Linked DNA regions of Lonchura striata. The protein of the gene in region 2 interacts with the protein of the main gene of each other region in a biochemical or structural test. Links are inferred from orthologs where the notes say so. Each region holds a gene or a part of one and is shown on either strand. Other genes may lie near its edges. The genes, in order: SGIP1, EPS15, NUMB and FCHO1.

What was found.
Region 1: the proteins of EPS15 (region 2) and SGIP1 form a complex in vitro, tested with the Homo sapiens proteins (2 studies listed by BioGRID, with this or other methods). The link is inferred for Lonchura striata from reciprocal best matches to the Homo sapiens genes EPS15 and SGIP1.
Region 3: the proteins of EPS15 (region 2) and NUMB form a complex in vitro, tested with the Homo sapiens proteins (2 studies listed by BioGRID and IntAct, with this or other methods). The link is inferred for Lonchura striata from reciprocal best matches to the Homo sapiens genes EPS15 and NUMB.
Region 4: the proteins of EPS15 (region 2) and FCHO1 form a complex in vitro, tested with the Homo sapiens proteins (2 studies listed by BioGRID). The link is inferred for Lonchura striata from reciprocal best matches to the Homo sapiens genes EPS15 and FCHO1.

What each region holds. Positions count from the first base shown.
Region 1 is NC_134611.1:5,294,589-5,302,463, reverse strand, and holds the start of SGIP1 (SH3-containing GRB2-like protein 3-interacting protein 1), read left to right. Parts: upstream 1-4,870; 5' UTR 4,871-5,314; coding exon 5,315-5,324; intron 5,325-7,875.
Region 2 is NC_134611.1:10,084,288-10,091,788, reverse strand, and holds the start of EPS15 (epidermal growth factor receptor substrate 15), read right to left. Parts: upstream 3,017-7,501; 5' UTR 3,002-3,016; coding exon 2,915-3,001; intron 1,511-2,914; exon of another isoform or gene 1,347-1,510; coding exon of another isoform or gene 1,320-1,346; intron 1-1,319. UniProt on the Homo sapiens protein: Involved in cell growth regulation. May be involved in the regulation of mitogenic signals and control of cell proliferation. Involved in the internalization of ligand-inducible receptors of the receptor tyrosine kinase (RTK) type, in particular EGFR.
Region 3 is NC_134608.1:35,772,701-35,779,760, forward strand, and holds the start of NUMB (protein numb homolog), read right to left. Parts: upstream 3,016-7,060; 5' UTR 2,911-3,015; exon of another isoform or gene 2,804-2,910; intron 1-2,803. UniProt on the Homo sapiens protein: Regulates clathrin-mediated receptor endocytosis. Plays a role in the process of neurogenesis.
Region 4 is NC_134630.1:7,889,009-7,896,883, reverse strand, and holds the start of FCHO1 (F-BAR domain only protein 1), read left to right. Parts: upstream 1-4,859; 5' UTR 4,860-4,902; intron 4,903-5,817; 5' UTR 5,818-5,874; intron 5,875-6,491; 5' UTR 6,492-6,542; coding exon 6,543-6,569; intron 6,570-7,197; coding exon 7,198-7,289; intron 7,290-7,391; coding exon 7,392-7,466; intron 7,467-7,541; coding exon 7,542-7,683; intron 7,684-7,784; coding exon 7,785-7,875. Other genes in the region: MAP1S (microtubule-associated protein 1S), read left to right, coding at 1-898, 984-1,201, 1,560-1,715. UniProt on the Homo sapiens protein: Functions in an early step of clathrin-mediated endocytosis. Has both a membrane binding/bending activity and the ability to recruit proteins essential to the formation of functional clathrin-coated pits.

The DNA.
Region 1 (7,875 bases), about 4.8 Mb from region 2:
ACAGCTGGATCCCGCACAGCTGGGACCCCGCACAGCTGGGATCCCGCACAGCTGGGACCCCGCACAGCTGGATCCCACACAGCTGGGATCCCGCACAGCTGGGATCCCGCACAGCTGGAATCCCACACAGCTGGGATCCCGCACAGCTGGAATCCCACACAGCTGGAATCCCGCACAGCTGGAATCCCGCACAGCTGGGTCCCTGCACAGCTGGGATCCCGCACAGCTGGAATCCCGCACAGCTGGGATCCCGCACAGCTGGAATCCCGCACAGCTGGAATCCCGCACAGCTGGGATCCCGCACAGCTGGGATCCCGCACAGCTGGATCCCACACAGCTGGAATCCCGCACAGCTGGGATCCCGCACAGCTGGAATCCCACACAGCTGGAATCCCGCACAGCTGGGATCCCGCACAGCTGGGATCCCGCACAGCTGGGTCCCTGCACAGCTGGAATCCCGCACAGCTGGGATCCCGCACAGCTGGGATCCCACACAGCTGGAATCCCGCACAGCTGGGTCCCTGCACAGCTGGGATCCCGCACAGCTGGGATCCCGCACAGCTGGGTCCCTGCACAGCTGGGTCCCTGCACAGCTGGAATCCCGCACAGCTGGAATCCCGCACAGCTGGAATCCCGCACAGCTGGGTCCCTGCACAGCTGGAATCCCACACAGCTGGAAGCAGACGCTCCGGGGCTGCCTCTGCCTTTGCTGCCCCGGATGTTTCCCAGCACCGCCCCCCACCTCTGCCCCCTCCCCATCCCGTTTCTTTTCCGGGAATAAATTAATTTTAAGAAGCATTCAATGTTCTTTATTGGTGTGGTCCAAGCAGGCAGACCCAAAGGTGATCAGGCCGCTACCCAAAGACAAAATAAATTTTAATGAAAGGCTGCAAGGGCATTCCTGAAGCTCGGGATTTTGCCAGGGCAGAATTTGTTTCTCTGGATTTCTTTACACAGCTGAGAAATTTCCCCTAAAGGAGGCAAAAGCTCCGTTCCAGAGCCCTGGAGTGGCGTGGGCAGGGGATGAACCGGCAGCACTGAGCCCGGGGCCGCAGGGGATGGATCCATCCCATCCCATCCCATCCCATCCCATCCCATCCCATCCCATCCCATCCCATCCCATCCCATCCCATCCCATCCCATCCCATCCCATCCCATCCCATCCCATCCCATCCCATCCCATCCCATCCCATCCCAAAGCACATCCCGGGCTCCCGCTGCCAGGGATCAGCCCCACAAGGGGCTCGATCATATTTCGGGTGGTGTGAAATGGCTGCAGCCCCCCAGGCCTGCACGAGGCCTTTGCCAGTGCTCCTGAACACTTTTATTTTTTTTTTTCCTTGAAGAATAAAAATTAATCAATTCTCAGCGTCCTGGAGCATGCCGGGGCAGCCGCACCTGGTGCCCGTGGGGGTGGTGCTAATTACCCTGATTAGTGCGCGCTTATCAGGGGGGAGGTGGGGTCGGGGGCGATCCTGGAGCCGGGGAGGAGGAGCAGGAGCAGGTGGGATCCCCTGCGGGGTGTGCAGGGGTTCCCCTGGGGTTTTGGGGCTGGGGTCCCTGTTCCTGCCGGGATGCTCGGGGAATCCTTTGTTCCCCCAGCACAGGCTGGGGCCGCCCCGGGAGCTTTTGGGGCGCTCCCTCTTGGGGTTCAGCCTGCCCGGGTGGCTCCTGGAGGTGCCACTGGGATTTTGGGAGCTGGGGCTGGGCTGGTCCCCTCCGTGCCCCTCGTGTGGGGCTGGGGCAGCTCCTCCTGGGGCTCTCCCCTCTCCCAGCCTCCTTCTTTTGGGGAAAAACTCCTGGAAATTGTTCCGGGAGAGCTCCGAGCTCTGCCAGGGCCTGGAGGGGCTCGGGGAGAGCTGCAGAGGGGCTGGGGACAAGGATGGAGGGACAGGACACAGGGAATGGCTGGGAGTGGGAATATTTAGGCGGATACTGGGAAGGAATTTTGGCCGTGGGGATGCGAGGCCCTGGCCCAGGTGCCCAGAGCAGCTGGGGCTGCCCCTGGATCCCTGGCAGTGCCCAGGGCCGGGCTGGAGCTCCGGGACAGCGGGAGGTGGCCCTGCCCTTGTCCCTGAAATTCGCTTTTAGCGGGGCCGGATTCCCGAATTCCCGGGGATCCTCCCGGCAGCGCGGCCGCCCCGGTTCCCGATTTGATCCCGGCCCGTGGCAGGGCGGTGCCAGCCGCCCCTGGGCGCTCCCAAGGCGGGATTTGCCCTGCCCGGGCCGAGGATTTGGTTTTTTTTAGCAAATCCCGGCGCTCTGCGGGGCCGCGCTGTCACATGGAGCCGCGGCTGACTCCGCCGGCAGATGAGTAATGCAGCCCTGACTCATTTGCTGCCGCTTTTATTTGGGTTTTTTATTTATTTTCGATTTTTTTTTTACATCCTCAGCCCCTTGGCTTCATCTGCTGCTGGCAGCTCCTCGTGCCTCTCCTTCGGGAGCTGCTGGAGATTCCCGGGGCTTGGCATGGGAATTGTCCTTGAGGCAGCTCAGCGGGGCTGTGGGGGGGTTTGGGAGTGGAATTGTGAATTCCGGTTTTTGGAATATCGGCTTTGCCTCGGGGAGAGGGGTTTGGTGGCAGCTGCCCCCCCCAGGCTCTCCCTGTGCCAGCTGATCTTGGAAAGAGCCCGTTCCAGGAGCGGCTTTGTGGGTTCATTTTGGTTAATTTTGGTTATTTCGGTTAATTTTGGAGGGGGGTTTTGGTCAGCCCCCCTGGCAGGAGGAGTTTCACAGCGTTGATCTGCCCCACGGATCCAGGGGAAGCTGGAGCTGCCTGGGGGGAGCAGCAGCCAAAATTCCCGGGTGGATTTTGGCCAAAAGGGTATTTTAGCCACAGGCTGGCCTGGGCAGGGATCTGCGGGGAAATCCCGGCTCCCCTCGTTTTCCCGAGGAGCAGCAGCCCCCGGAGCCGTGCCAGGGGCTGGCACGGGATGTGGGGTCACGGAATTCCCGGATTTAGGTCTGGCGGGACCTTAAATCCCATGCCAGCCCTGCCACCCTCCCCGAGGATCGCTGCTGACCCCGCCTGGCCTCGGGCACTGCCAGCGATGGGAATTCCGGGGCCCCGCAGCTGCTCCGTGAATTTTTTTTGGGGGGGTTTGTGTTATTTTGGTGTGCCCAGGAGGAATTCGGGCACGGAAGGTGCCCGTGCATCCCTGGCATCTCCTGCCGGGGGTGCCAGCCTGGCTCCTGGGGCGGTTTCGGGGGCGGCATCCCACGGGCTGTGCCCAGCCTGGCACTGCCGCCGGAATTCCGCGGGGCACGGGGCTGGCAGCGGGGCAGGGAGGTCACAGGAGCTCCTGGCAGGGATTAAAGGAACCATCTGTTCCATAATCCCGTTCCACAACTGCCTTCCCCACACCCTTGGAGGTGCTTGCCTTTTAGATTGATTTTTTTAAACAGGAGGGGGAAAAAAATATTTATTTTTAATTTTTTGCTATTTTAATCGGGCAAAAAAAAAATTGATTTTCATGAATGAAAAATGCCTTTAAAAAAAAAAATTATTATTTTTTCAATGGGGAAAAATGATGTCCTGAGCGGGGACAAGCCCCGACGGGCACGGGGGGCTGCCGGGATGATCCCCAGGAAGCTGGTGCGGGCGGGTTTTCCATCCGCGCTCCGAGCGGCGGAACGCGCGGCTGTCCCCAGAGCAGGGGCGGCTCCTCCGGGCACCCACGGTGCCCATCCCGGGATTTTTTTGGGAAGCGGCGGGGCCCTGGACAGGGTTCGAGCCCCTTTCCTGTCAGGGGAGAATAATAAAATATCCGGAGTTTGGGAGCTGGGTCTGCCAGGGACGGGTTTAAATCCCGATTTTTCTTGGCTAAGCCAGGCGGGATCCCCAGAATTGAGGCTGAGCGCAGTGACAGCTCCGGGGACAGTCGGGAATGGGGGGGTGGCATCATGGGGGGACACAGGGCAGGGCTGGCACCGGGGGGACACGGGGCAGGGTGGCACCAGGGGGGGACACAGGGCAGGGTGGCACCAGGGGGGGACACGGGGCAGGGTGGCACCAGGGGGGGACACAGGGCAGGGTGGCATCATGGGGGGACACAGGGCAGGGCTGGCACTGTGGGGGGACACAGGGCAGGGTGGCACCATGGGGGGACAGGGGGCAGGGTGGCACCATGGGGGACACAGGGCAGGGCTGGCACTGTGGGGGGACACAGGGCAGGGGTGGCACCGGGGGGACACGGGGCAGGGTGGCATCATGGGGGGACACTTGGCAGGGCTGGCACCGGGGGGACACGGGGCAGGGTGGCATCTCTGGGACACTTGCCCGGGCTGGGTTTGGCCCTGGCACGGCAGCGGCTGCCAGGAGGGCCCGGCGTGCCCGGCCCCGCTCCGCTGCTCCTGAGCCGGGATCCATCCCCCTTTTTTCCCGGATCCCTTTTCCCCGATCCCCTTTCCCGGGATCCCTTTTTTTCCACCCCGGGATCCCCTTTTTCCTTTCCCTTTTTTTTCCCCCCCGTATCCCTTTTTCCCGGGATCCCTTTTCCCCAATCCCCTTTTTCCCGATCCCCTTTCCCTTCCCCCCCCCGAGATCCTTTTTTTCCCTGGATCCCTTTTCCCGATCCCCTTTCCTTTTCCCTGGATCCCTTTTCCCGATCCCCTTTTTCCGGGATCCCTTTTTCCCTCCCCCGGGATCCCTTTCCCCTTTTTCCAGGATCTTTTTTCCCCCTTTCCCCTTTCCCCTCTTCCCCCGGGATCCCTTTTCCCCAGTCCCCTTTTTCCCGGATCCCTTTTCCCCAGTCCCCTTTTTCCAGGATCCTTTTTCCCTCCCCCGGGATCCTTTTTCCCCTTTCCCTTTTCCCCCGATCCCTTTCCCCTCTTCCCCCGGGATCCCTTTTCCCGGATCCCTTTTCCCGGATCCCGGATCCGCCGGGCCGGGCATTAACCATCGCGCTGCCCGCAATGGGATTAGGGCAGGGGAAGTGCGTCACGAGGTGCGCACAGGGGCTCTGTTTTTGGGGCAAGCGTGTGTGTGTGTGTATTGGGGGGAATAAAAAATCCCCAAAATCTGGGAAATAGGCTGGAGCGCTGCCGGGGGTGTGCCGGCAGCGAGCGCGCATGTGAGCAGCGCCTCGCCCTCCCTTCCTGCGAGCAGCATCCTCCGCCCGCCCTGCTGGAGGTGATACAGGCGCAGCATCCATGGCCTGCCCCTAGCCGCGCTCCCCGCTCCTTCCTCCTCCTCATCCTCCTCTCCTCCTCCTCCCGGCCGGGAAGAGCCGAGGCCGGGCGCTGCTGAGCGGGGCTCGCCCTCTCCTGCGTTTTTCCAGGCTCCCCGGCAATTGAGGAATGCGCTTCTGCCACCATGATGGAAGGTAGGCGATGAGCCGGGCGCCTTCTCCCCCGGGCTGCTGGCGGGCTGGGGGGAGCTCGAGCCTTTCCCGAATCAAAGATTCCCTCAATAATCGCTCCATGCGCCGCTGCCCCTAATCCCGAGGGCCGGAGGCTGAGCCCAGCGCCGGGCCGGTGATGGAGCCCCGAGCCCGTCAGGTCTCTGCAATTCCATCCCCAGCCTGGGTCGGCAGCTCGGGCTCTGCCCATTCCCGGTTTTCCGCCCAGCTGCCGCTTCCTCCGCCGGCATTTGCATCCCGAAATCCCGATTTTTTATTTTTTTTTTTTTTATCCCGCCGAGCTGTCGCTTCCTCCGCCGGGATTTGCATCCCGAAATCCCGATTTTTTCTTATCCCGCTGTGGATGCGCGGCTGCCGGAGGGGATTCGGTGCTTTTGGCCGGGTGGATGAGCATCCTTTCGGTGGGAAACGAGGGAATCCGGACTCGAGATGATTTTTATTTTCCTTGCCGAGCCGCGGAGATGCTGGATCGGGGTTTTTCGGCATTAAAAAAAAAAACAAACACGGGGATGAGGAGGGAATTTGGGCTCCGATGCTTCGGGGAGCTGTGTGTGATCCTGTGTGGGAAAAGCCTCTGGGCATGACAGGAATTTTATCCTCTGTCGTCTGTCTCGGCCGTATGTAAAGCTCTCCTTTATTATTTATCATCTGAATTCCTTCTGGAGCAGGATGCAGGGGAAGGATGCCTCGGGTTTAATTTTATTTTAGCGGAATGGATCCTCCAGGGCCAGCAGGAGCGAAATGGATGGAATTTTGGGGGAATTCTGGCCCGTTGGTGGCAGCAGCAGGGCCTGGCTCGGCGGAGCCTCTTCCAAGCCGGGGAGCTCCCCGGGATGACAGGCAGAAATTGGGAAATCGCTCCCCGGACTATCCCAAAATCTGGGGCTGCCCCTGCCCAAATTCAGCGGGAGAGGCCTGGGGCTCCGTGGGATTTCTGTGGGTTCAGGATCTTTCCCTGGCCTCAGGAATTCGGCCTCTCCTGGGCCGGGTTTTGGAGGATTTGGTGGGAAGAAAATGAGTTTTGTTGTGCTGTAGATCCCAGGAGAAGCCTTCCCTGCTCTCCCGGGTGCTGATGAGAGTCACAAGCCAGAGAGGTTTTAATTTTAGCCCGTGACATCAAAGCCATCCCACGACAGGCAGGTCATGGCGGGGAAAATGCCGTTAAAATCCCGGCTGCTCCCGAAATTCCGGCGTTCAGGGAGGAGTTCTCGTGGATAAACTGGAGCTGTCCCCTTGTAGGCCTTGCTTGGAGTTATTTATTCGGTTTTCAGGCTGCTTGGGGGAAGGAAATTGGGGTTTTGAGGCTCTTTGGGGTTTTTGGGTTTGGGGTTTCTTTTGGGTTTGGTTTTATTCCTCGCGGGTTTTGGCCTGGCAGGAGTTTTGGAGATGGATCCAGGGCTGGATCTGGCAGAGGTGGAATCACCTTCCATGACCCAGTCATGCACGGGGAAAAATTAAATACTCATCATAAAAATGGAATTATTAAACAGCTCGAAACGTTCCCCAAGTGGCTGATGCAAACCTAGAACAGAAGTCGGGAAATGAGAACTAATTCCTGGGTTTTTTCAGTTTTGAAATAGTTGGAAATTGGCTGGATTTGTGGGAGAGTGAAACTTCGATCTGAGATGCCACTGAAACTCTGGCCCCTTATTTAATTTTTAAATAAAATTATATTTATCGAATATTTAGATTTATTTAATATGAATACAATTAACTCCATGGTTTTGACAAGCATGGCTTAATTGGAGCTGACGCTTTAAAACGTGTTCAAAACACCGAGAGTTCCTCGCAGAGCATCTTAAAGGGGTTTAATTAGTACTGTCATTAATTCTTTAAATCATTTGTCCTGCTGGAGTGGTGGACACCGAGCTGGCAGTGGAGGGTGGGTGCAGGACCTGAGGCCACCCATGGGCAGCAGGAGGGACCTGGCTCATGGATCCTCTTTGGAGCCTTTTCCTGGGAAAAAAGAGAATTCACCGGGTTGGGAACGGCGCAGGATGAGCAATTTGTGCTCAATATATGGAATATTTTGTCATTCTTCTGGGAGATGCGAGAAAAACGTTTCTTTTTCATGGATGCCTAAAAGTCCCAATGATATCCCCAAAAAAAACAAGCAAAAGGGTTTTTTTTTCCCCAGCCCCCCAGCCTTGCTGGAGGACGCTGAAGGTGTCTCCAGGAATGGAAATTCCTCCACTTCCATGGGGCAGGAGCATTCCATGGCTTTGCCGGGTTTGGTTTCACTCGGGGGGGAAGAGGGATTGGGATTGGGATCAAACCCCCTGGAGATGCCTCCTGGTGGGAAGCAGGATTGGGATGGAGATCAGACCCCCTGGAGGTGCCATGGGAAGTGGGGATGGGATGGAGATCAAACCCTCTGGAGATGCCTCCTGGTGGGAAGCAGGATTGGGATGGAGATCAAACCCCCTGGAGATGCCTCAGGGTGGGAAGTGGGGATGGGATTGGGATCAAATCCCCAAGAGGTGCCATGGGAAGTGGGGATGGGATGGGGATCAGA
Region 2 (7,501 bases):
TATTAAGAGACTCAGACAATACTAACTTAGCCATTTTAATATAAAGCAAGCTTTCACAGACAGTACTATACTTCATAACTATACCTTTAGACTCTTAAAGATATATTTGTTTTCTCCATATATTTACTCACCTTTTCACTGAACTACTTCTTTCCTTGAAATGGTTGATATTCTTCTCAAAAGCAAACTAGGTAAGTAACTGTAAACTTGTGCAGCCTCACTGCCAGCTTTTTAAGTTTACTTCCATGTGCTTAAGCAATTTATTAAGCTCATTTACCCACTTTGCTTTCTGTAAATGTCACAACTAGCTATCAGATTGAAGCATCCCAAGCCAGGAGAGTGAACCAAAAGGCCCACTTCAGCCTTATGTCAGGTAGGAATGTAAATTTCTCATCTCACTGCTAAATGAAATTAGAAAGTATCAAAAAATGTCATTCCTTAGCTATTGCAGCTCTAGGGAGTAAGACATGATCCTAATGATGTAGAATACCCTGTGTGAAGTGATTCCACTACTGTCAGAAAAAAATGCGAGCAAGAAGGATTGAGGTGAAGTGAGATGACACGAGCATGACACAGTGCCACGGTCTCCAAGTTTTAGGGCCACCACCTCCACAGCTCTTTACTATGAGGCACCTGTATGGGCACTATGTGACAAAAATGTCCCAAAACCACGGGGCCCACCTAAACCAAGGTAAAACGATCCCGCAAGCAGCATTTGCGGAGCCAGGTTTCTGCTAAAACAAGGAATCCGTCTATCCCTCCCAGGGCCACCTGCCCATGGTCTCGCTGCCCCGGAGCACCCCACGATGCCGGGTGTGCCCGCGGGGCTGGCACCGGGCACGGACACCTTAACCCGGCGCTATCGCCTTTCAGCCCCTCCGCCAACACTCCCCGGCTCCGCCCGCCCTCCGTTCCCGGGACGGGGCTCGCTGGGCTCCAGCCCGGAGCCCCGAGTCCTACAGAGACAAAAGACGGACGGCGGCCGCCGCCGGCGCAGCCCCGCCCGCCCGGGGCCGCTCCCGGCCGGGTCTCCTGCCCCGGGCAGAGGCACCTGCGGCCGGGCGGGACCCGTTCCTCGGCCGCGGCACCCCCGGGTCGCGGCGCCGGGCTGCCCACCCGCCTCCCCTCGCTGCCGTTCTCCCTCCCTCCCGCACACACGGACACACCCCCGCCCCGCCGCCACCTGACAGCGGCGGGGCAGCGCTGCGGGGCGGCGGCGTCCGCACAAAGCGCGGGCCCCGGGCAGCCCCGCGGCGCGGCCGTGCCTGGGCGGGAGCGGGCGGCGGCGGCACGGCCGGGCCGGGCGCGCAGCCCCTCACCTGTGCCAGGGAGAGGCGCGCGGCCATGCTGTTCCATGCCCCCGGCCCGGCCGCAGGAAGGACGCGCCGGGCCCCGCCACTCGCCGCACAACTTCGGCAACTTCCCCAGCCGGCCCCGGGCAAATCCCGGCACCGGATCCGCGCCCGCCCGCCGGACGGAGCCGGAGCCTCCCCCGCCGCCACACGGCAGCGCAGCCGCGCGCAAAACCGGGCGCGGATTACCGGAGCCGGAGCCCGCTCGAGGCAGCTGCAGCGAAAACCCGGAGCCGGAATCATGGGCCTGACACGGAGACCAACATCCCCCACTGCCAGCTCCCGGCCTCTCCCTCACCTTCCCTATTTGCCCTGCTTCTGCTGGAGATGCTTCCAGCATGGTGAATGGTTGCAGTTCTCCAGTCCAGTCATGCCACAGGTGGGGAAGTCCCAAAACAGGAGGTGAAGCAGGTCTGGTCTCAGTTGCAACAGAATTGGGCACAAGGCCCAGGAGGAAGCAGCGCGTGAGCCCAGCAGGATGTCCTGACCCGACGCATCCTCACAGCGGTGAGGAGCAGCCCTGGGCTCGGCCTCCTGCTTCCCTCCACTCACAGGAAATCAGATGCCTGTCCAGGCAACTCATGGTTGTACGCATCCTTCTGTCTCCCTGCTTGTACTCAGGGCAACAGTGGCTCTTCTGGGGCGGGTAACCAGAAGAAAGGGATGAGCAACCCTTATGGCAGGAGAAACTATGAGACATTGCAACAAGACACAAAGGAGCAGGCTGGAGTGGGGAGTAAACTGCACCACATTCTCCAAACCCATGGGAAACAATTGTGTACAGACAGGCTGAAAACAATACTTATGTCACCGCTCATTCTCCTGCTCCTGTACCTGCTCACCTCCTCCCACTGGCTTATTTCCACTCCTACTCTGAGCTCTGCACTACCTCAGCATACATAAGTCACTGAGGACCAAGAGAAAATGTTTCTATTTTTATGCTTTACCCCAAGGTGGTTTAGGCACACATTTAATCTTGAAATATGCATTTGGACTAGTAAGAAAAAATTAGCTGAAGTCATACTTGATTATTGGAAAGCTTTCCCTACATGCTTTGTTTTCTTTATCTGTTCATAATTCTATACCCCTCTGCATTGTTTTTGTCCTCCTCAGCTCAGTCGTGTGCTCATGCCCCACCTCTGCATCCTGTCATTCCTCAGCTGGCAGTCATCCTGAGCTGCTAGTGCTCATCATCTGTCATGAAATGTGGGATCCCTCCTTCCCACCTATTCCTTTATAAAGGTTTTATAGAAGCTCTGCCTTATCAACCTGTTTCTCAGCCATTTTTTCAGCAAGAAAAAGAAAATATGGAGGGGAAGAATATAAACAGCAAACAGAATAAATATAAAAATATTCACACCATTCACATACTCACTTGTCACTTCTCTACTCCACCTCACACTTCTCTCATAAGCAAAATCCCTAGAAAACAGCACAGACTTTATATTTCTAGGTTTTTTCTATATCTAGATTTATCTTTATATTTCTAGATTTATCTTTATGTTTCTAGATTTTTTTCTTCTTTGATTAAAATTCGAATTCTATCCCAGAATAATTAATACCTGGAAATGAAACCAGAAGATTGTAAAGCTGCAGCTGTGTCTCCTGGAGAGAGCAGGATTTTTGGGAGGGGGCCCCTTAGTGGGCATTTGGAGAGCCTGAATTTCTGAGCAGCCATGAGCTCATTTGGGTGCCCTTTGCTCTGTCAGTTGTTTCCTTCATCTTGGAGCCTTGCAGCTTGGCAGGGACGGGTGGCCTCTCAGGAGAGAGGTTACACCCAGGCTGATGTGTTCTGCAAAGAGAAGGAAAATGCAAAACAGGGACCTGGGATCTGGCTCTGGAGTTGGAGGCTTGATGCAGAGAGCTGCTGTGAGCAGGATTTTGTGGGCAGGCTATCTGGCTCAGTAGTGTTCTTGCTGCTGTTCTCTTTCTCTCCTGGGTGTTGCATCAAGTATTTCCTACCAGGTGCAGGAAGGGACCCAGAGCTGCAGCAAGGCTCTAGAATACAGGTGCTGAGTCAAGGGACTTGTGCCAGTCAGCCAGCAGAGCTGTGTCACCCCAGAGCACAATGAAAAGCCCCAGGTCCCCTCAGAGCAGAACACTTGTTCAGTAGGGAGGTCTGCTCCAGCCAAGACCACTCCTGAAGGCCTGATCTCCCTGAACTTTGTGTTGGAAAATAACCCCCCATTTTACTTCCTCAAACTGTGAAGGGCACAGCAGTCCACATCCAGAGCACCTTTCCATAGTGTTCTCCAGAGCTGCTGCGGCAGACTCCAAGTTGCACCTGCAGCTCAGGAACAAGCAAGCACTGCCAGGTATGTGGTTATGTACCTTCACCCTGGCTCTGCACGCTCACAGTCATCAGGCATGACCACTGTGTCCACAGTCAGAGGGCAAGAATCCCTCAAGGTAACCACTGTGGCCTCTACAAATTAAAACAATAATGAGTTTCATATAGTCAACACTGAATTAGTGTGGTCATGTAGATTTGTGCTGTTGTTGATCATTCTGTGCAGCTCACAGACAAATTGTCCTGGATGCCTCCAACCACCTGAGTTAAAACAACCAGTTCAGAACCTCAGACATCTCTATAACAATCACAACAGCACTTGTCAGCCTGCTGATGGTGAATGATTGTATTGCAGATTTTCACAAATCTAGAATGACAGCTCCCAGAAGAAAAACAACTCTCTGCTTCTCAGCTGGAATTGAGATGTCATCACCTGATATTAGATCACAAAACTGGACTTCATACTTACTTGCAGCCAAGAGAAAAGTCACAGCTACTAAAATTTACTCAAAGCTGTTGGCAGGTTTGCAAAACAATGCCCTCCAATGACCTTCTTGGCTTAGCCATGAGCAGCTCACCAGGGCTTGGCTAGTGTGGAAGAGCTCCTGAAATCTGGAATGGAGGGATTTTCTAAATGTACTTCTCCTCTTATTTCCTCCTCAGTGGAAACCCCATTCTTCTATCTCTTCCTTTGCTGACCCCATGAATCTTGACCTTTTGAAATATCTTCTGTGAATTTTGTAAGGAGTGGTGGGATTCTGTGCTGGGTTTTCAGGAAAGCTTGCTTGTTAAGAACATAAGAAAGACAAAAGATCAATGAACTGCAAGAACTTTAACAGTTTCATTTTGTATCTTTTTTGCATTTAACATGAATTCTCCTGCAGGAAATATTTATCTGTAATCTGCTCTGTAAGAACTGCTATATGATGTTTTGTTGCAAGATCCTCTACTACAGTGCACTTTATGCCCAAAGGACATGGAAAATAGTATTAGCATGCTTTTATTTGTAAGTGTAATAGGATTTTCTACAATTCTAAATACTGGCATTTTGACAAATAGGTACCAGATCTTAGTGTTCTTTATTGTTTCTTTGAAAGTACAATGCACAAAGTTATGTCTACACTGGACAAACAAGGGACTGCTAACAAATCAAAACTAGCCAAATGGCTGGTGAAGACTGGGACTTGCAGCAGTGCAGTGAGCACAGCAGCAGCACAACCATTTTGGTGCAAATCCCCACTGTGGAACACTGTACAAATGACTTGCTCTGATACAGCTGAATTTGAAAATGTGCAAGGTAGCACAGAAAGGCTCTCCACCACAGGCAAACACTAACGACCACTGTTCTATAGATGTCTAAATATGATTGTTAGTAAAGCTGGTAACATTTTAATCATCTACTGGTCCCCCCAGAAATAACATCTTAAGTGTCCATCTCTTCCTTTCCTAGAGCTTTGTTTACCCTATGGATCAGCACACGGGAAGCGCAAAACAGCACGCAGGCATTTAGTGTGACTTGTTCTGCTCGTTCTAGGAAAGGTGTTACTACAGCCCATGAGCACTCCGGAGGCTGAGAGAGGAATGACTCAGTCCTGCCTCCTGCATTCCTGAGCACAAAATGAGGTACCCAGCTCTCTGGAATTCCAGTGCAAAGCAGAGCAGTAGCTGCAGCATTGCGTATACAGAACCAAGGATTTAAAAGTAAGAAGGATTAAGCCACTTTGAGTTTTACAGAGCAAAAGGAAACATATGCATCAACACACAAAATCCTGGCCAGAAAAAGGAATCACTGTTCTATGATCAAAGACTGTAATGCAAGGGAATCTGCCCACAGGCAAACAGACATTGCACAGGTTTCAGAGAGCCAAGCAACAGCCATAGTCCTGGTACAGAACAGCACTTCCCACACTTAGGCTACTGAAAGATCCCTCCTGAGAAAGGAGGAAGATCATCACGCAGACTTTGACAACCTTTGGACTGAGGAGACCTTTTATCAGAAATCTCAGGGTACTTTCCAGGACTAGTGACACAAGCTGGTTTAGGAAGTCACGACTGCAGGCATGCCTTTATCTAGAAATCCACCCCAGGATATGCTTTGTGTGCTCTTTACATTTTATGCAGCTGCAAGTTTTCTAGACAAAGGGTTACAGATAGGCTGCTATGTTTTAAGGCCACAAGAGAACATTACAATCATCTAGCCAGACTCCAACTGACCTTCTGTAGAGACCTGTTAATTTCTGTGTTTCTTCTACATAAAACACGTAATCTGTGAGTCCTATAGTGTATCCTCTAGGAGGATGTCTATTTTCTGGAGTATGTACATTGATCGTTATGAAAACTGCATAGGAATCACCTGCTAATTCATCTTGTGCTGTGCTCTTGGCTTCTTAATGTGGTTTGCACACTTTCAAAGTTATAGCAGCTTTGAAAATACTTCAAAGTGGGTTGAGAGATGATCAAATTTATACAAAACTGTAGCAGTATTAAATAAACACAAACTAGGATATTAAGATAACTGCATATTTGTTCATCTCTAAAGTGTTTTCTGTTCAGTTGTTCAGAAGTATTTGAATATATCTGAATTTAACTCCTTCATCTGGCAGAAACAAAGTATGGAATTATTGTACCTCTTTGTTTTGCAAAATGATGTAATCTATATTGCCAGTATTCAGAAAAACAAAGGCTAAAATTATCTTTTAACCGTAGTAATTAGAAAGAATAATATTGAATTTTTATTAAGAGAATGGTAAAATTGAAAATAACCTGAATAGGGTTTGAGTGAATCTCTTTAATCATATCTGATGGAAGTGCTGGCAAATCTGAAATGTAGCAGTACAGATCTGCTATTTTAAAACATATACCATTTATCTTTTCATTAAGACTGTAAGCATCTTTTCTCAAACTAATTTATATTAGCCAGTTTCATGGGGCTACACTTCATGTTGTAAAATAATAAGAGAAAACGTAAATATATACAAGAGGTCAGCTTGAATTCTAGATAATTAGCTGAATGACTGACAGCACAATGACATTTTTCATTCAAGACCATATTTGAAACCCAGAAAAATCTTCAATAGGCATTAATCTGACATGTCCAGCTAATGTAGCAGTTGGAGATTTCACTGTTCCTTGAACAGCTTAATACATGTTCTGAAATAGAACAAGCAATAGCACTGCTGAAACAGCATCAGTCTTCATTATAAATTAAACATGTCAATATCGTAGTGTGTAGTGTATATTAAACCAAAATGAGGATTGAAAACTAATATATTTACAAAGTAGCAGTCAGAAAAGCTTTTACCAACAGTTTCTTCTGTTCCCTGATTCCTTAGGCATGTTGTCTATACTATAAATCCAGGGAACACACTGCTCACCTTTCTGAAACACTTAAAAGATTATTATGTTATAAGAAAACAGAAAATATAAAAAATATAATCTACACACTGAATTCCCAACCTTCCCCTAACCTAGAATTAGTTTACTCTGCCCTTCACAAAGATGATTAATTAATTTCAGAATTATAAGATACATGAATTAATTAGATAAAAGAGCACTTGGTATTTTTCTTCTTATTAAATGGTTTGTCTTTAAGACAAACACATGACTGTTAATGGTAAAAGACCATTTTTATGGAATTACTGTAAATCTTGATACTAGCAAGCTTTTCTTCTTGAGATTTCCTTACTTGTCTTCCCAATTATTTTCATCTTCTTATCTATTCTTACATTCTCCACTTTCCTTCATTTTCATCTGGTCTTAATTACAACCATAACAATGTCAAAATGTTTCAGAAAGTATTAAACAAAATAACACCAATGCAATAAACATTGGTCATAAGACAAAAAATAACTTTCACACA
Region 3 (7,060 bases), on a different chromosome or scaffold from region 2:
TTTCAGCTGGATCAGCAAAGAAAGACTAACAGGGGAAAACAGATCCTTTTGGTGAAAGCATCGGCAGAAAAATCAAAGCTGCTGTGGTGGTAATTCAATAATATGACTGTAGAGGACATGTTAAGTCTTAGCTTGATTGAATTTATGCTTGGTATTCTGCAGGAAAAGAAAGGCAATGTGGTCTAATTTCACTTATTAATATTTTGAGATCAGTTGAGACTTAACAAGAAAGCTGTAATTTTAATATATGTTCACCAATCAAAGCAAACTCCAAAAACAAGACTAAGGACAAGATTTCATATGAGTTTAAACCAAGCTTGCTTGATAAGCTGGGAGAACAAAACTATAAGTGAACTTTCACCCCTCCCCTAAAGAAAGAACAAAGTCAGCAGAGTGTCAGACAAGTAGATGAGTGCAGTAAGTAGGATACAACTAAAAAGTCACCAATAAGACCAGCTTTGGCTGCCAGTCTCTTACTTGACAGCTTCTTTAAAACATCTTTTCCAGAGTACAAAAGATTACATTTCTATAGCATTAGAGCATTTTTTTTCCAGTGCTATGCAGTTCCATCAATATTACTAGTGGAATAAAACCAGCTATAGGCAGAATTCAAGACATACTTCACAGTGCTGTAATAGGCTCTCACAAACACACAATAAAAAATCTACTACAGTATATTTTTCCCAATAGCTTCAATTCCTGAGGAAGGAAGCACTTTTGCAAAGACTTCCAGTACCGTTTCAGAAAGTTTTTAATCCATCATACCCGTTATGGTAGGAAAGAAAATTACTTACAGATCATTCCGACACCAAGCAGCTCTATCAAACTACAAAATGTAAGATTTAGAAGTCTGGCAAGTTTTAAGAGCCCAATGTGGCTTGTTGGTTTAGGTTTCTTCCCAAATGCATAATGCTGCCAAACTGCTAACAAAAAATCAGAAGGTTTCACAACACTACATGAAAACATAAACAAACTTGTCTACTCTATCTAGTTTACATGCGCCTTCAGTTTCCACACATTTAAGCTAAATAATAAATGCAGGAAAGTAATTCCAAGGATAAAAAATAAATTTTCTGCTAGTAAGGATTTAAATTGTTCATTTGAATTTCATTTCTCATGTATATTTTAGGAAAAAAATATTTTATGTGTTAGGTTTAGAGTTCTGTAAATCTAAATTTTCACTGAGGCTTAAAACCAACACTATATGCAATTACAGATTAAAAAGCCTTTACTGTAGGATAACTCAGGGTACCAAGACTCCTAGAATCACAGGCAAGAATGAACACATCTGAAATTCATTGTTTTGGACTTTGTTCACATCCTTATTTCTTCTGTAAGACTTTTGCTAAGGGGAAAAAAACAGCACTTCCACAGACAATTGCCAAGAGATGAAGAAATGGAAAACACTCACTGATGAACAGAAAAACAATCTCTTTCTCTATGGTAACTATTAACTCCGCATAATCATAAAGACCATTTTAGCAGTAACTATAGATCAATAAGTCAAATAGAACTGAGTCAGAAATCCATTTAAATATTTACATTTTTTGTTACAAGTCATACTTAGAGTATTACTGTAGCCAAAGAGAATGACTGTGCCTTCCATTTTATTCACTCTCTTCATTCAGGAGCCTATCTTGATATGCAGAATGATCAAAAATACAAAACAAGAGCAAAATGAAATCCTTTAAATGGTAGAAATATACATTGTTGACAACTATAAGCTTCTCCTACTCCGGACAGCTGAATTAGGAAATATTGATAACAACACACAAAACACATCAGCAAACAGAAAAGCTCCCTTATCATTTCATAAACCATTAATGAGCAGGTTATATAAATCTACTGGACCGAAGGAGTTGTAGATCAGAGCTGCTGCAAGACATTAACTCTACTGTGAGGGATAAATCATTTCATTCTTGAAGAATGTTCATCTCCAAGAGCGCAATAAAAGGAATTAAGGGCTCTCCGAACGGGAGCTGCATTTTAACCCTTCGTGACCGACCGAGCGCGGAGCGGGGCGATGCTCCCCGGGCGCACCGCAGCCCCCGCCCCGCACGCTGTTGCTCATCCATCCCTCCTTGGCCCGCAGGACGGGCCGAACCCGGCCGCCTGTTCTTTGTGCAGCCTGGCGAGCTGCCGCACACGCACCGAGGCACCGGCCAAGCCACGAACCGGGTGAAAAGAGACGAGCCCCGCTGCCCACGGGGCCCTTTCCCCTACAACTCCCGCTGCCAGACCGGGACGTCAGTACCATCGCCCAAAAGCCTCGTCCCGACGCCTCCCGAAGTTCACAGAGCCCAGCCCCAGCTGAGACGGGGCAGCGGGTTCGGGAGAGCCCCTGCTGCCCGGAGCCCCCTCGCTCCCACGGCCACGCAGGGGCGGCAAGCGGTACAAAGCGCCCGGGAGCGGCCGCGCCGGAGGGACCCTCTGACGGAAACCTGGCCGGGATTCAAGGCCTAGGAGAGACCGCAGGCACGGGAGGCAGCCCCGGGAGAATCCCAGGGAGCGGCGCCGCCCCGGGGGTCGCTTCCTCGGGCCGGCGGCTCGGTGCTCCCCGCAGGGCCCTTCGGTGCCGCGGCCGCCCCCCGCAGGCTCCACCTGCGCCGGGCCCCCGCTCCGCCGCACCGGGGGATCGCGCCCCACCCCACCGCGCCCCGCCGGGGCGGGGGCCGGAGGGTGCCCCCACATCGCCCGCCGCCTCCGCACGCACTTTCCCGGAGTACCCCTGCCCCCCCTCATCCCCTCCGGCCCCTCAAGCTTCCCCCGCCTCCGGCGCCCCCCCCCCCGCCGCCGGACCCACCCGCGCCCCACGGGGTTTGGCACGGCCCCGTCGCGCTCGCCTGCGGCTCCGACCACCGGCCGCTGCAGCGAAGGCCCTTCCCCGCATCGCGGCCCGGCCGTGCTCACCTGCTACCCGCAGCCGCCTCCCTCCGGCGCCTCCTCCGCCGCCCGTCGCCACCGAGCAGCGCCGCCGCCGCCGCTCCGCCCCCGCCCCCCGACCGTCGCTCCCGCCCCCGCCGCCAGCCACGCCTACTCCGGCGGCCCATTGGCCAGGCGCCCCGAGGTCCGGCCTTTGGATTGGTGTGAGGAGCCGCCCGTCAAAGCCTCGGCCCCGCCCATCCCCGCCCCACAGGTCCCGGGTGGTTTATTCACGCCGGGGCTTTGGCGCCCCCAATCTCTCGCTGTCGGTTCCGATTGGCTGACGCGGCGGGGACGGCGCGCCAGGATTGGCTGCCCGAGGTGCCACTGCGGCGGTGCGCCCGCCCCGCCGGGGCTCGGCTGCGCGGTGCGGCGGGAAGGCGGCGGCCGCTGCCGCGCCGGGCTCGCGGCCGGGGAGCGCCCGGACCTCCGGGCCCCCCGGCCCCGGCGACCCCTGATGCGTCAAGGGGCGATGCGCCTCCCACCGCCCGTCTGCGGTTCGGTTCCGCTGTGGTTCTTATCTCCTCACGGCTGCGGCGGTGGCGACACCAGGAGGAGGGTTCCCGCAGCCCCGTTGCCACCTCGGTTACCCCCCCGATAAACCACATGTGGTGACTGCCACCCTCCCTGGGGGCTGCAGTGAGACGTGCTGCTAATGCCAGCTCTCCGGAAACCGTGATGTCCTACATCAGCCAGAGGCCAGGCTTGCACGAAAATCGCGAGCAGGCTCCTTTAACCTCCACGACTGAGACTGAGAACCACAGTATTCTCAGGATACCCTTCTTTCGACCCCAGAAACACTAGCATGCCTCCATTTTCGAAGTGGAGACAGTAGCAGGTGCTGAATTCAGCAGGGAGGCTGCGCTTCAAAGGGAAGTTACCCAGGGGAATCCTCTGGGAGAAGCACCCTTGCGACTGCACATACGGGGCTTGGCCTGAACGCGTTAACCAGAATGCGTATTTCAAACAGCTGCCTCCTCTCACCAGACTTTCAAGCAGCTGCTTCATCCAAAATGCAAGCCAGAACGATTCCCGGTGCATTCAGCTGAAAAGAAGAAGGGGAAAAAAAAAAAAATCAAAATGCAACGATTACCTGATTTTTCCCTTCATTATTATATTCTCCCTGCATACACCATCCCCCTTATTCCTCTTTGCTTCTGAATCAAGCAAAGAAACAGAGCAGCAAAGAATGCGGGCCATAATGTTAGCTGGCAAACATCAAGAAAACAAAGCAACTGAAATCACTGGGAATTTCAGAGCATGTGCAAAAATAATTTACCAAGTTTATACAGGAAGTGCTCAGGCAGAAGTATGAGTATGACACTGACTCAGTTTCAGACTGATGCTCTGACCCCCAAGTCACCCCTTGTTCATAAATTAAACTGAGAAGATGCAGGGATTCTCCTTACATCTTTTTGCATATCCTTTGCTTTCCAAGGAAAGCAAAATCAAGGCAGAGAGCTGCCTTCCCTCTCAAATATTCAAGTCCCAAGTTTTCTTCAGATTTTATGAAAACATTCCTGACTTATCATAGATCTTAAATACTGCGTTCCCAGTACCTTCAGTATAACACTTCATCTTATTCACAGTCTCTGGATTTCTGACAGAAATTTTTGTAAAGCATGATGCTCTTTATTTTTTATGAAAATTTAATTCTAAATTAACAACTCTCATATTATCAAGAAGCTCTGCTTCTAAATGAAAAGTATAAAGGAAAAGGCCAGGACATGCTATTGTAAATAAAATCCAATGTATGCTTCAGCTATTTATAGCTTTTACAAATATTTATAAGATAGCTAAATTCATTTGTTGCCATTACTGCTTCTCTGCTCAGCTAATAACTTGACCTCCCTGTATGGTCATTGGTGACTGAAGGGAAAGGGGGCCGTGGTGGGAAAGGAAAGGAAGATGACCCTAGAGGTCACTCAGCTGGACACACTAAGCATCCAACATAGCAAGCTGCACATTCACAGTGCTGCACTGCGGGTCCAAGGCACCTTCTGGGTTGAGTGTGTTGTCTTCCCACAGCACTTCCATGGGAGGGGGGGAAATTACTTCTCCAAGGTCTGACACTGGAAGAAATGCTTTAAATGCTTTGATCCTCATAGATAACAAAGAAATGGAAGATACTTCATAGCATTCACAAGAAACCAAACCAAATTTGCCCCTTATCACCTTTTCTTTAAGAACAGGACTCCCTGTGTAATACACAGGATTAATGGTCTTGACTCCCTGTCATGCCCACTGACTCCTGTCAACTGTGCCTTTCTAGCCAATATCCTTCCTGGACTCAGTGGGATAGCAGGAGAGTATGCTATTCCCTAAGGACCTGAGAATATATCACACACACATTCATGACAATGCAAACTCCTTTATCCCCACTGCAGATACCCAGAGGCTTAACATCATTCTACTCTATTGGGTATCTAAAATAATGTCAGTGATTAAATCTCCCTTCACCATGTTATCCCTTCTAGGAACAAGCCATACCAGTATAAATATATGCATTTCTATGTTCACAAAGAGGAATTCCATTTTTTCGGCAGTATATATAAAACAATAGGAGCTTGTGTGTCTGGATGAGCACTGGAAATGTTCAAAAATATTTCTATAAGGTGCCATATTGGCTAGTAGCAATACATATCTACTATGCGAAGCAAATAAGCAATTACTACAGGGGCTTTCTCCTGTCATGCTCTGAGCAGATTTGAACCAATATGGTTGCTAAACCAAGGCATTCTGTTTGCATAGTATTTACATCTTGGTAGTGCTGCATCTGAGGTGAGCAAGCAATTTCAGAATACTTCAGAAAAACTTAAATATAGGAAACAAAACATAAAGTCTTTTTGTAAGGCTTTTGACTAGGAACAGCTTACAGGAGAAGCAAGTGTTGAATAGGGTTGCCCTATGTTGGCACAGTGATATGTTAATCTTGAAATAGTGGGCATAAATGTATTTAATGAGCAAAGCTATGCAGTTGCCATCATTAGTACAGAAAGGATATGAGGAGCAAGAATCCTTTAAAACCTGCCTTCCATGGAAAAACATCAGCCAAACAGCTTGTCAAGAGCCATGGTCTGGGCATATCAGAAGGATATTCTTTAGCACAAGATTTATGCAGGAAGAGTTTGACTGTACTTTCTACCTTGATTCTTTAGATGTGATTAATCCCACAGGAGAAGTATTTCATTCAGGTTCTCTTTGCCTTCATTTTAGGATGGGGATTTTCTCCTCATTGCCATTTCTTTCTCTCCTTCTACTGGAGCCTTGAAGTCTGGAACTTTGTATTTAATCACTGCCTATGGAGTCACTGCAGATGGTATCTGCTCAATGCTACTGAATGCTAGATGGCAACTAATAAAAGCATAAAACCCCTCATAAAATTATTTCAAAATTTGAAAGTACACATGCCCAGTCAGGGGGTTGAATAAACTCAGTCAAAAGTCCTACTTAATTACATTATTTTAATTCAGCTTTAATTCCAATGTATTTGCTTTCGTGTCACATGGTACATGTGCTTCCAAATCCCTCCAAAAAGATAATTTCACAGGGAGGACAGGACCTTCTAATTATGATTTTTACAAATGTGCTTTAATTTGGTTGTTCCATGGCAGGGAAGGCTTCTTTTCTCAGTGGGGCTCCTTGTACAAGATAACCAGGCTTAAAGACCACAACCAGTCACTGAATAAGAAGATCCTCGGAAAGAGAGAAACAGCTGGAGGGAAGCCAAAGCTGCTGCCAAAAGATGCTTCAGTGAGTGAGTGCATTCACTCTGACGAGGGAGGCCAGAGGATAGCTCTTGAGAAACAGTTCCTGAATTAGCTTTCAGTCTTGTTATCTGGCAGTGAACTTTATAGCTTTCACAATGAGCAGCAGGCTTCAGAATCCAGCTGTGTCCTTCCAGTGATGACATAGTGGATGTAGCTAGGCTGTGTAAGAAAGACTGTCAGCTAAGCAAACCTGTTAGTGAAGGCTTGAAATGCTCTTTATCCTTACTAGGTATTAGTTTTGGCATGAGAACAAAACTGATGGTGCAAAAGGAAGGTCACCAGCAAAGTAATAATGAGAAGAAGGATTAAGCTGGGCTTAACTTTCTAATAGTGACTGGTTTACATTAATGGTTTGCCAGGAACACAGA
Region 4 (7,875 bases), on a different chromosome or scaffold from region 2:
ATCACCACGCCCTCGCTGCCAGCCGAGGTGGGGTCCCCGCACTCCACCGAGGTGGATGAGTCGCTCTCGGTGTCCTTCGAGCAGGTGCTGCCGCCGGTCAGCGAGTCCCCCCCGGAGGAAGGGCGGCGATCCTGCGGCTCTGGGGACGCTCCCGAGCCCGAGGCCACCAAAGGAGGGCTGTCGCTGCCGCTGCAGCCGTGCCACCACCCGCCCTGGGCTGACGGGGACATGGTGCCACGGCCCGGCCACCGCTCAGACTCGCCCCACGACGTGGACCTGTGCCTGGTGTCCCCCTGCGAGTTCGAGCACCCCAAGTCCGAGCGGTCGCCCTCAGCCGCCGCCAGCCCGCGGGAGCTGTCGGACAGTGACCCGTCGCAGGAGCTGGCACCGCCCCGGGGCCGGCCGGGCGAGACCCCCCCCACGTCGGTCAGCGAGTCGCTGCCCACCCTCTCCGACTCCGACGCCCCTCCGGCCACCGAGGACTGCCCGTCCATCCTGGCCGACGGGCTGGAGTCGGACGAGGACTCGGAGCGGCCGCCCCGCAGCGTGGCCCGAGCGTGTGACCCGCTGCCAGCCCCCCTGAAGGACCCGTGTCCCCTCCCTGCCCAGCCCGGAATCTGCATGGTGGACCCCGAGGCACTGCCCCCCGGCCGCAAGGAGCTCCCCGGCACCAGAGTGAAGAGGACCCCGTCCCACGTGGGCTCGGCGCCCGCCGCCCCCAAGGCCGAGCCCCTTCGTGTCCCCTCGGCCACCAAGGCCAGGCCTCCAGCCAGCTCTGCTGGGGACAAGGCCAGGCCGCCCCTTGGGGACAAGAAGGGCCCGTCCAGCGCGACCCCCGGCAGCGCCCGCGCCGCTGGAGCCCGGCCGGCGGCCGGAGCCGGGCGGGCATCGCCGGCAGGTACGGGCGCAGCACTCAGGGGTCTTTGGGGGCCCGTCGTGACCGCTGTCCCCCTGTCGTGACCGCTGTCCCCCTGTCGTGGCAGGCACGAGGGTCGCGTGTTCCCAGGGACCCCCCGTGTACGTGGACCTGGCGTACCTGCCCGGCTCCTGGAGCGCCCGCACCGTGGACGAGGAGTTCTTCCGGCGGATCCGCTCGCTGTGCTACGTGGTCAGCGGCGATGACCACCTGAAGGAGGGCGTGCTGCGGCCGCTGCTCGATGCCCTCCTCGCGGGCAAGCACCAGTGGGGTGTGGACATCCAGGTGAGTTCCCAGCCTGGGGCTGAGCAGGGTGGGGTCGGCTCCATCATGGCGCTGGGGGTGGCAAAGTGTCCTGGGGGGCTGACAGATTGCTCTGGGCATCCCTTCCCAGTGCCTGGGGGGGTGACTGGACATTGTGGGTGCCCCTTCGTGATGCTGGAGCTGATGACAAAATACCCTGGGTGCCTCTTGCTGATGCTGTGGGGGGTCACAAAATGCCCTGGGTGGCCCTTGCAGATGCTGGGGCTGGTGACAAAATGCCCTGGGTGGCCCTTCCTGGCACTGGGGCGGGTGACAGGGTGTCCTGGGTGCCCCTTCCCAGCACTGGGGGGCTGACAGGGTGTCCTGGCCGTCCCTTCAGGTGACCTTGATCCCCACCTTCGACTCGCTGGTGATGCACGAGTGGTACCAGGAGACGCACGAGCGGCAGCAGGAGCTGGGCATCACCGTGCTGGGCAGCAACAGCACCGTGGCCATGCAGGACGAGACCTTCCCCGCCTGCAAGGTGGAGTTCTGAGGGGGAGCACGGCCCGGGGGCCACCCCCACCCTCCCCCCGAGACCCCCACCCCTCTCTGAGCTGCCCCATGAGCTCGGAGGGGCGGGATGGGGACAGCAGGGGAGGTGTGGGGGTGTCTCCGCCGTGCCATGCCCATGCCAGCCACGCTCTGCACCCGCTGCCAGCCCGGGGAGGGGACAAGGGACCAGCTTGGCACGGGGGGGGGGGACACAGGAGGTGTCCCCCAGCCCACCCAGCAGCGGTGCTGAGCTGTTCCCCACGGGCAGCTCGATGGAACAGGGTAAATTTTGGTGTTTTGTTGTTTTGTTTCCTCCCCCTTTTCCCTGGATGAGCCACAGTTTTCTCCCCCAAACACCCCTCAAAATGGGGGGTGGAGGGGCTGGGTCTCGATTTTTTTTGGGGGGAGGGGACGGGACAAAGCTGGGACAACCTTGAGGGTCCCATCCCTGAGGGGGTTAGGGGGTGCTGCTGTGGGGTTGTCCCTGGTGTTTTGGCCCCACCCAAAATGGTTGTGCCCCCCAAAAAAACTGTTATGACCCTCCCCCCCCCCCCAAAATTGATTTTAACCCCCCCCTCACATGCAGCATGAGGCTGAGACCTGCCCAGCTCGCTGCACTGATGCCCCTTCCCACCCCAAGCCTTCCCCCACAAAATTTTTGGGTGGGGGCTGAACAAAGGCACCCCCCAGCCCCTCATTTTTTGGGGGGAGTGGAAAGCAGCCCCCCCCTGCCACATCCACCCAGGAGCTGCCCAAAGCTGTTCAGAACCAAACATCACGTGCAATTTTTAAGGGGTTTTATGAGAGGAGAGCACCAAAGGGGGGGTCAGGGCAGGGCTGGGGGGGCACAGAATGTGAGGACTCCCCCTAAATTCCCCCTTGGGACAAACACTAACCTGTTTTTGTAGGAGGCTCCTCGATGGTTCTTTTTGTAATGACTTTTTAAGATTAAAAAAAAAAAAAAAAAAAGACAAAAATCGTGAAAACTGAAGAAACTAAACCTTTTCTTTTTCTGTCAGTTTTTTTGAGGGGGGGGTTATTTATATTTGCTCCCCCCCCCCCAAATAAATGCCCATGGGGGCTTTTACCTTTGAATGTATCGTCCTACGTGTTCGGGGAGGGGGCACTGAATGTTTCACCTTTAGTGCTTTATATTGTTTTTTTCTCAGCTGGAAGGTTTGGAGGTTGGTGGGGGGCATTTTTTGGGGTGGGTGGGGTGGCTGTGACCACCACCCCACCCCAAAACCCAGCCCCTGCCCGTGACCACCAGCACACACTCCCCATCTTGCACACCACGTTCCCATTTGGCAATTGTGTGGAAAATGAGCATTAAAGAGGATCATTCCCAGTGGATCTTTGTCTCCTGGGCTGGTTTTTTTTTTTATGGGGGGGGTCCCCATGGATTTGGGGAGGGGGTGGAAAAGGATGGCTTGAGCTTGGCCTTTTTGGGGGTGGTACCATGAGGTGGGAAAGGGATTTTGGGGGTTTTTGGGGATGGGGGGGGTTTGCAGTTGCAGCTGGTGGTGGGAGAGGGGTTGGGGGATCTGTGGGGGGGTCCAGGGTGTGACCGGGGGGGGTTGAGAGGGGTCGGGGGGGTGGATGCGCTGCGGTGCAGCAGCGCCAAGGCTGAGGCTGGATGCGGGGTTGCCATGACAACGCCATCCCCGCATCCCAGCCCCGCATCCCAGCCCCGCCGCCCCCGGCCCCACCAGCAGCACGAGGAGGAGGAGGAGAGGGTTGCAGCCGTTGTCTTCGGCCCCCGCCGATTTTGGGGGGTGTTCGGAGCCTCCTCGGTGCTGTGGGGGTGTCCCCGTGTCCCTGTGCTCATCCCCCACTCTGCGTGGGCAGCACGAGGCTGGCAGGACCAGGGAACAAAAGCCTCTCAAAGCCCCCCATACCCACCCCCAAATTCCCCTTCGTCCCACCCCCCCAGCCAATCCCAAACGTCCCCTTCCCCAAAAATCTCCTCCTTGCCAGGCCCTTTGCTCCAGCGGGGGTATTTTGGGGAGGGGGCGCAGGGGGGGTCCGGTCCCCTGGAGCCCAGCTGTGACCCCCGGGATCGAGGCTGTCCTCGGGGCTGTCCCTGTCCCCCCAGCCCCCCCCGAGCCCCCCACTCTGCTGTTTCCCAGTGCTCTGACTGGTCCCAGTAGCTTTGGGTTTTGGGGAGGGGTCCCAGCGGGGGCTTCTCCGCCAGTGTCCCCTTTTGGTGGCTGCCGGGACCCGCGGGGACACCGCGGGGACCCCGCGGAGCCGCGGAGGTGACAGCGCCAGCAGGGGCCTGACCCTGGCCGAGCCGTGCCGGGAGCTGGGGAGGGGTCTCCAGCCCAGAGCCTCCGAGCCCACCGGCGCTCCGCGGTGCCACCGGCTGGGCCTGGCGTCGTACCTGCCAGGTGTCGCCGGGACAAAAGGCAGCGTAACTGAAACCGCCGCGTGACGTCCCCGCCGTGCCGGCTCCGGTGGCACCCGCGGGGCCGCCGCGTCCCCCCCATCTCGGCGGGACGTTCGGTGCATTCCCGGCGGGAATAAGGGAACGTCGCCCCCACCGGGAATGTCCCCCGCCCCCCGCCCGGTCCCTGCCCGCGGGGACGCCTCCGTGCCCGCTCCGACAGCTGCGCCGGTGACAGCCGGAGCCGGGCCATGAGCTCAGCGGGGTGCGAGGCACCGGCTGGCACCGGCGGCGGAGGCGGGGGAGACAGTCGGGGACCGCGGGTGCGGTGACAACCGGCGGGGTCGTGGCGGGGGGAGCCGCCGCACCGGGACCAGCACCACGAGCTCGGGGGCCGGAGCGCGTGCGGCGGCTGCAGTCCCGGGGGGGGCGGGGGGGGGGTGTGACAGCCTGGGGAGGGTGACAACCGGGGGACGGCGGCGGCAGCTCCGGTACCGGCAGCTCCGGTATCGGCGGCTCCGGCCGCGCATCTCCCCCCGCGCCGCTCCCGCCGCGGTTCTCGGGGCGGCGGCCGCTTTAAAAATGCAAATCAGCCCCCTCCCCGCGCGCGGCGCGGCGGCGCCTCGACCAATGGGAGGCGGCGGCCGCTGGCTGCGGTCACCGCTGCCGGGCGCGCTGACCAATGGCGACGCGTCTTGGCGGGAGGGGGCGTGGCCAGCTCCGCCCCCGGCGCGGTCCCGGCGCGGTCCCGGCGCGGCGGCGGCGGCGGCGGCGGAGCGGGGCGGGGGCGGCGGCCCCGCAGGTGAGTCCCGCGTCCTGCCCGGAGCGGGCACCGAGCCCCGGCCCCGCACAGGGGGTCCCGTCCTGGAGTGTCCCCGCCGCGCAGCACCCCGGCCCCGCCGTTCCCGCGCGGGTTCCCCCCGCCACCCCCGCAGCATCGCCCTCGCCGGTGTGCGGAGGCGCAGCCCCGTGCCCCCCACCCCCCCACCCGTGATCCCCCCCCGCGCTGTACACCGCGCCCCGCTGCGCCGCACCGTCCCGGAGCCCACCGTTAATAACGTCCCGGTGCACCGTGCAGCCCCCGCTGGCCACGAGCCCGCTCCCGGTGCTGAGGGCGGCCCCCCCGCCGCCTCCCCCCGCTGCAGGTGCAGGGCTCGGTTCTGCGCTTTTCCTCCTTTTTTATTTTCCGGGGTGCACGCCCCGGCTCCCCGCCGTGCTTCCCGTTCCCGGGGGGTTTTGGGACGCGCAGCACCCCCCGCCCCGATCTCCCCCCGCCTTCCCGAACCGGGCCCCCCACTCCGGTCGCCCCGCATCCTCCGGGGGCTCCCCGGCGCCCCGCACTGAAGGTCACGGCTGCGGGTGGCCCGAACCGCCCGGTTTTGGGGAGCGGGGGTCCTGGGGTGGCCCTGCCGCAGTCCCCCCACCCCGCACCCGCCGTCCCGCTCGGGGACTCGGTGGCCGCGGCCACCGGCGGGGACTTTGGCCGGCGGCGCGTTCGTGGCGTTCGCGGCCGCCCGGGGCCGGCGGGGCTGTGGGATTCAGCACCCCCCTCACGACCCCTCCCGGTTTTTCCGCCCCCCGTTTGTCGGGGGGGCCGCGCCGAGCCCGCCCCGCCCGTGACACAGGTGGCGGAGGGACCGGGCAGCGGTGGGGGGGGCTCGGGGCGGGTTTTGGGGGGGCTGCAGCGTTCCCTTACCCCCCCGTTTTACCCCTCCAGACCCCCGACACGCCGAGGATGCTCGGGGGGCCACCGCGAACCCCCAAACAGCCCAGGGTGAGTCGGGGAGGGCCTCCCCGGTGGCACCAACCAGGCGCGAATTTTTGGGGTTTCCTGTTTTTCTCCGGTGCATGATGGGGAGCGGGTTCGGGGGGGCACAGCCCAGGGTGGGGGGCACATCTGGGGTGGGGGGCACATCTGGGGTGGGGGGCACATCTGGGGGTCACCACACTGAGTGCTGGGGGGCTGCTCTGCTCGGGGACCCCCAGCTCGGCAAATCTGGGGAGTGGGGGGTCGGGACACTTGGGTCCTTTCTCCGGTGGGGCGGGGGTTCCCGGGGGGTGCGGGGGTGTCGTGGGGGAGTTTTTTGGGGGGCCCGGGGGCATGGGCAGGGCCGGGTGTGGGAGCAGCCGCCGCCGCACGCAGCAGCCGCTCATTTATTATTTATCTGCGTATCTGGTGTCGGGCCCAGCGCCGCCCCGGTGGCCCCGCCGGTGCCCCCCCCGGTGCCATCCCCGGTGCCCCGGGGTGCCGCACACCTTGGGGAGGGGTCTCTGGAGGAGGACCCCTGCGGTTTCCATGGCCACGGGGATGCGTTTTCCTGGGAAAACCGATAAAACCGGGTGGGTGCGACCCCGCGAAGCCCCCCGGTAAGGCCCCGGTGTCCCCCCCAGGCTGCCGGGAGTTGAGCTGCGGTATCCCCGCGCCGCTGCCCCCCCTCCAAGATGTCCTATTTCACCGAGCACTTCTGGGTAAGCTGGGACCCCCGCCCTTGGGTGCCCCCCGCCCTTGGGTACTCCCCACCCCTCCGTGGGTGCCCCCCATCCTCAGAGACGCACCCCGCCCTTGGGGGAGATGAAGTTTCAAGGCCCCATGCCTTCGTTAATGCTGTTGATTAATTAACTGGGGGGTGGGTGGGGTGGTGGGGGTGGTCTGGGAGTCTCCCAGCTGTGGTGACATCGCTGTGTCCCCCCCCCGCTCCCTGGGGACCCCCAGCCCCGAGGGGGAACAGGGGAAGTCGCGTGGCCGGTGCTTCCTGCTTCATCCGGCAGCTGCCACCACCTTCCTCTTCCTCCTGCCTCAGTTTCCCCTGGGGGTTCACCTGCACACCCAGCGCGGCTGGGGGAGGGGGGGGTCTGAGGTGAAGCCACTTTGTGGGTGGGGGGGCAGCACCCAAAATAACCCCAGGGGTTTTTGGGGTTCAGTCCAGCCCGTCCTGGGGAGCACCTGGGGCAAGTTCTGGGTAGGAGGTGTGGGGTTCAGCACCCCACTTTTGGGGGCTTGGGCCACTCCAGACACTGATCCCGGTGCTCCTGGGGAAAAGGGGTTGTGGGGGGTCCCTTGGGATTTGGGGTCTGAGGTTGGGGGCTCCCCTGGCAGGGCGAGAAGAACCACGGCTTCGACGTCCTCTACCACAACATGAAGCACGGGCAGATCTCCACCAAGGAGCTCGCAGACTTTGTCCGGGAGAGGTACCCGGGGTTGGGGACAACCTGGGGGCTCCCCAAACCCCTGGGGAGGGGTCCCCAAAATCCCAGCTCCACCCCAAATCCCCCTCCCCACCATCCTTCCAGGGCTGCCATTGAGGAGAACTACGCCAAGGCCATGGTGAAGCTGTCAAAGATGGCCACAAACGGGACCCAGCTGGGGTACGGGGGGGTCTGGGACACCTTGGGGTGGCTTTGGGGACCCCGGGTGACCCTTGTGGTGGCCCCCCCGGGCAGGACCTTCGCGCCGCTGTGGGAGGTTTTCCGCATCTCCTCGGACAAGCTGGCCCTGTGCCACCTGGAGCTGATGAAGAAGCTGCACGACCTCATCAAGGAGATCTCGCGCTACGGCGAGGAGCAAGGCCGGGTGCACAAGAAGGTACTGCCGTCCCCTCCCGGCCCTGTCCCAGTCCCCTCCCGGCCCTGTGCCCTCGCTGGGGTGCCCGGGTGGCCCGGCCCACGCCGCTGTGCCCCCGGCAGTCCAAGGAGGAGGTGTCGGGGACGCTGGAGGCCGTGCAGCTCCTGCACGGCGTGGCCCAGCTGCTGCCCAAGTCCAAGGAGAGCTACCACA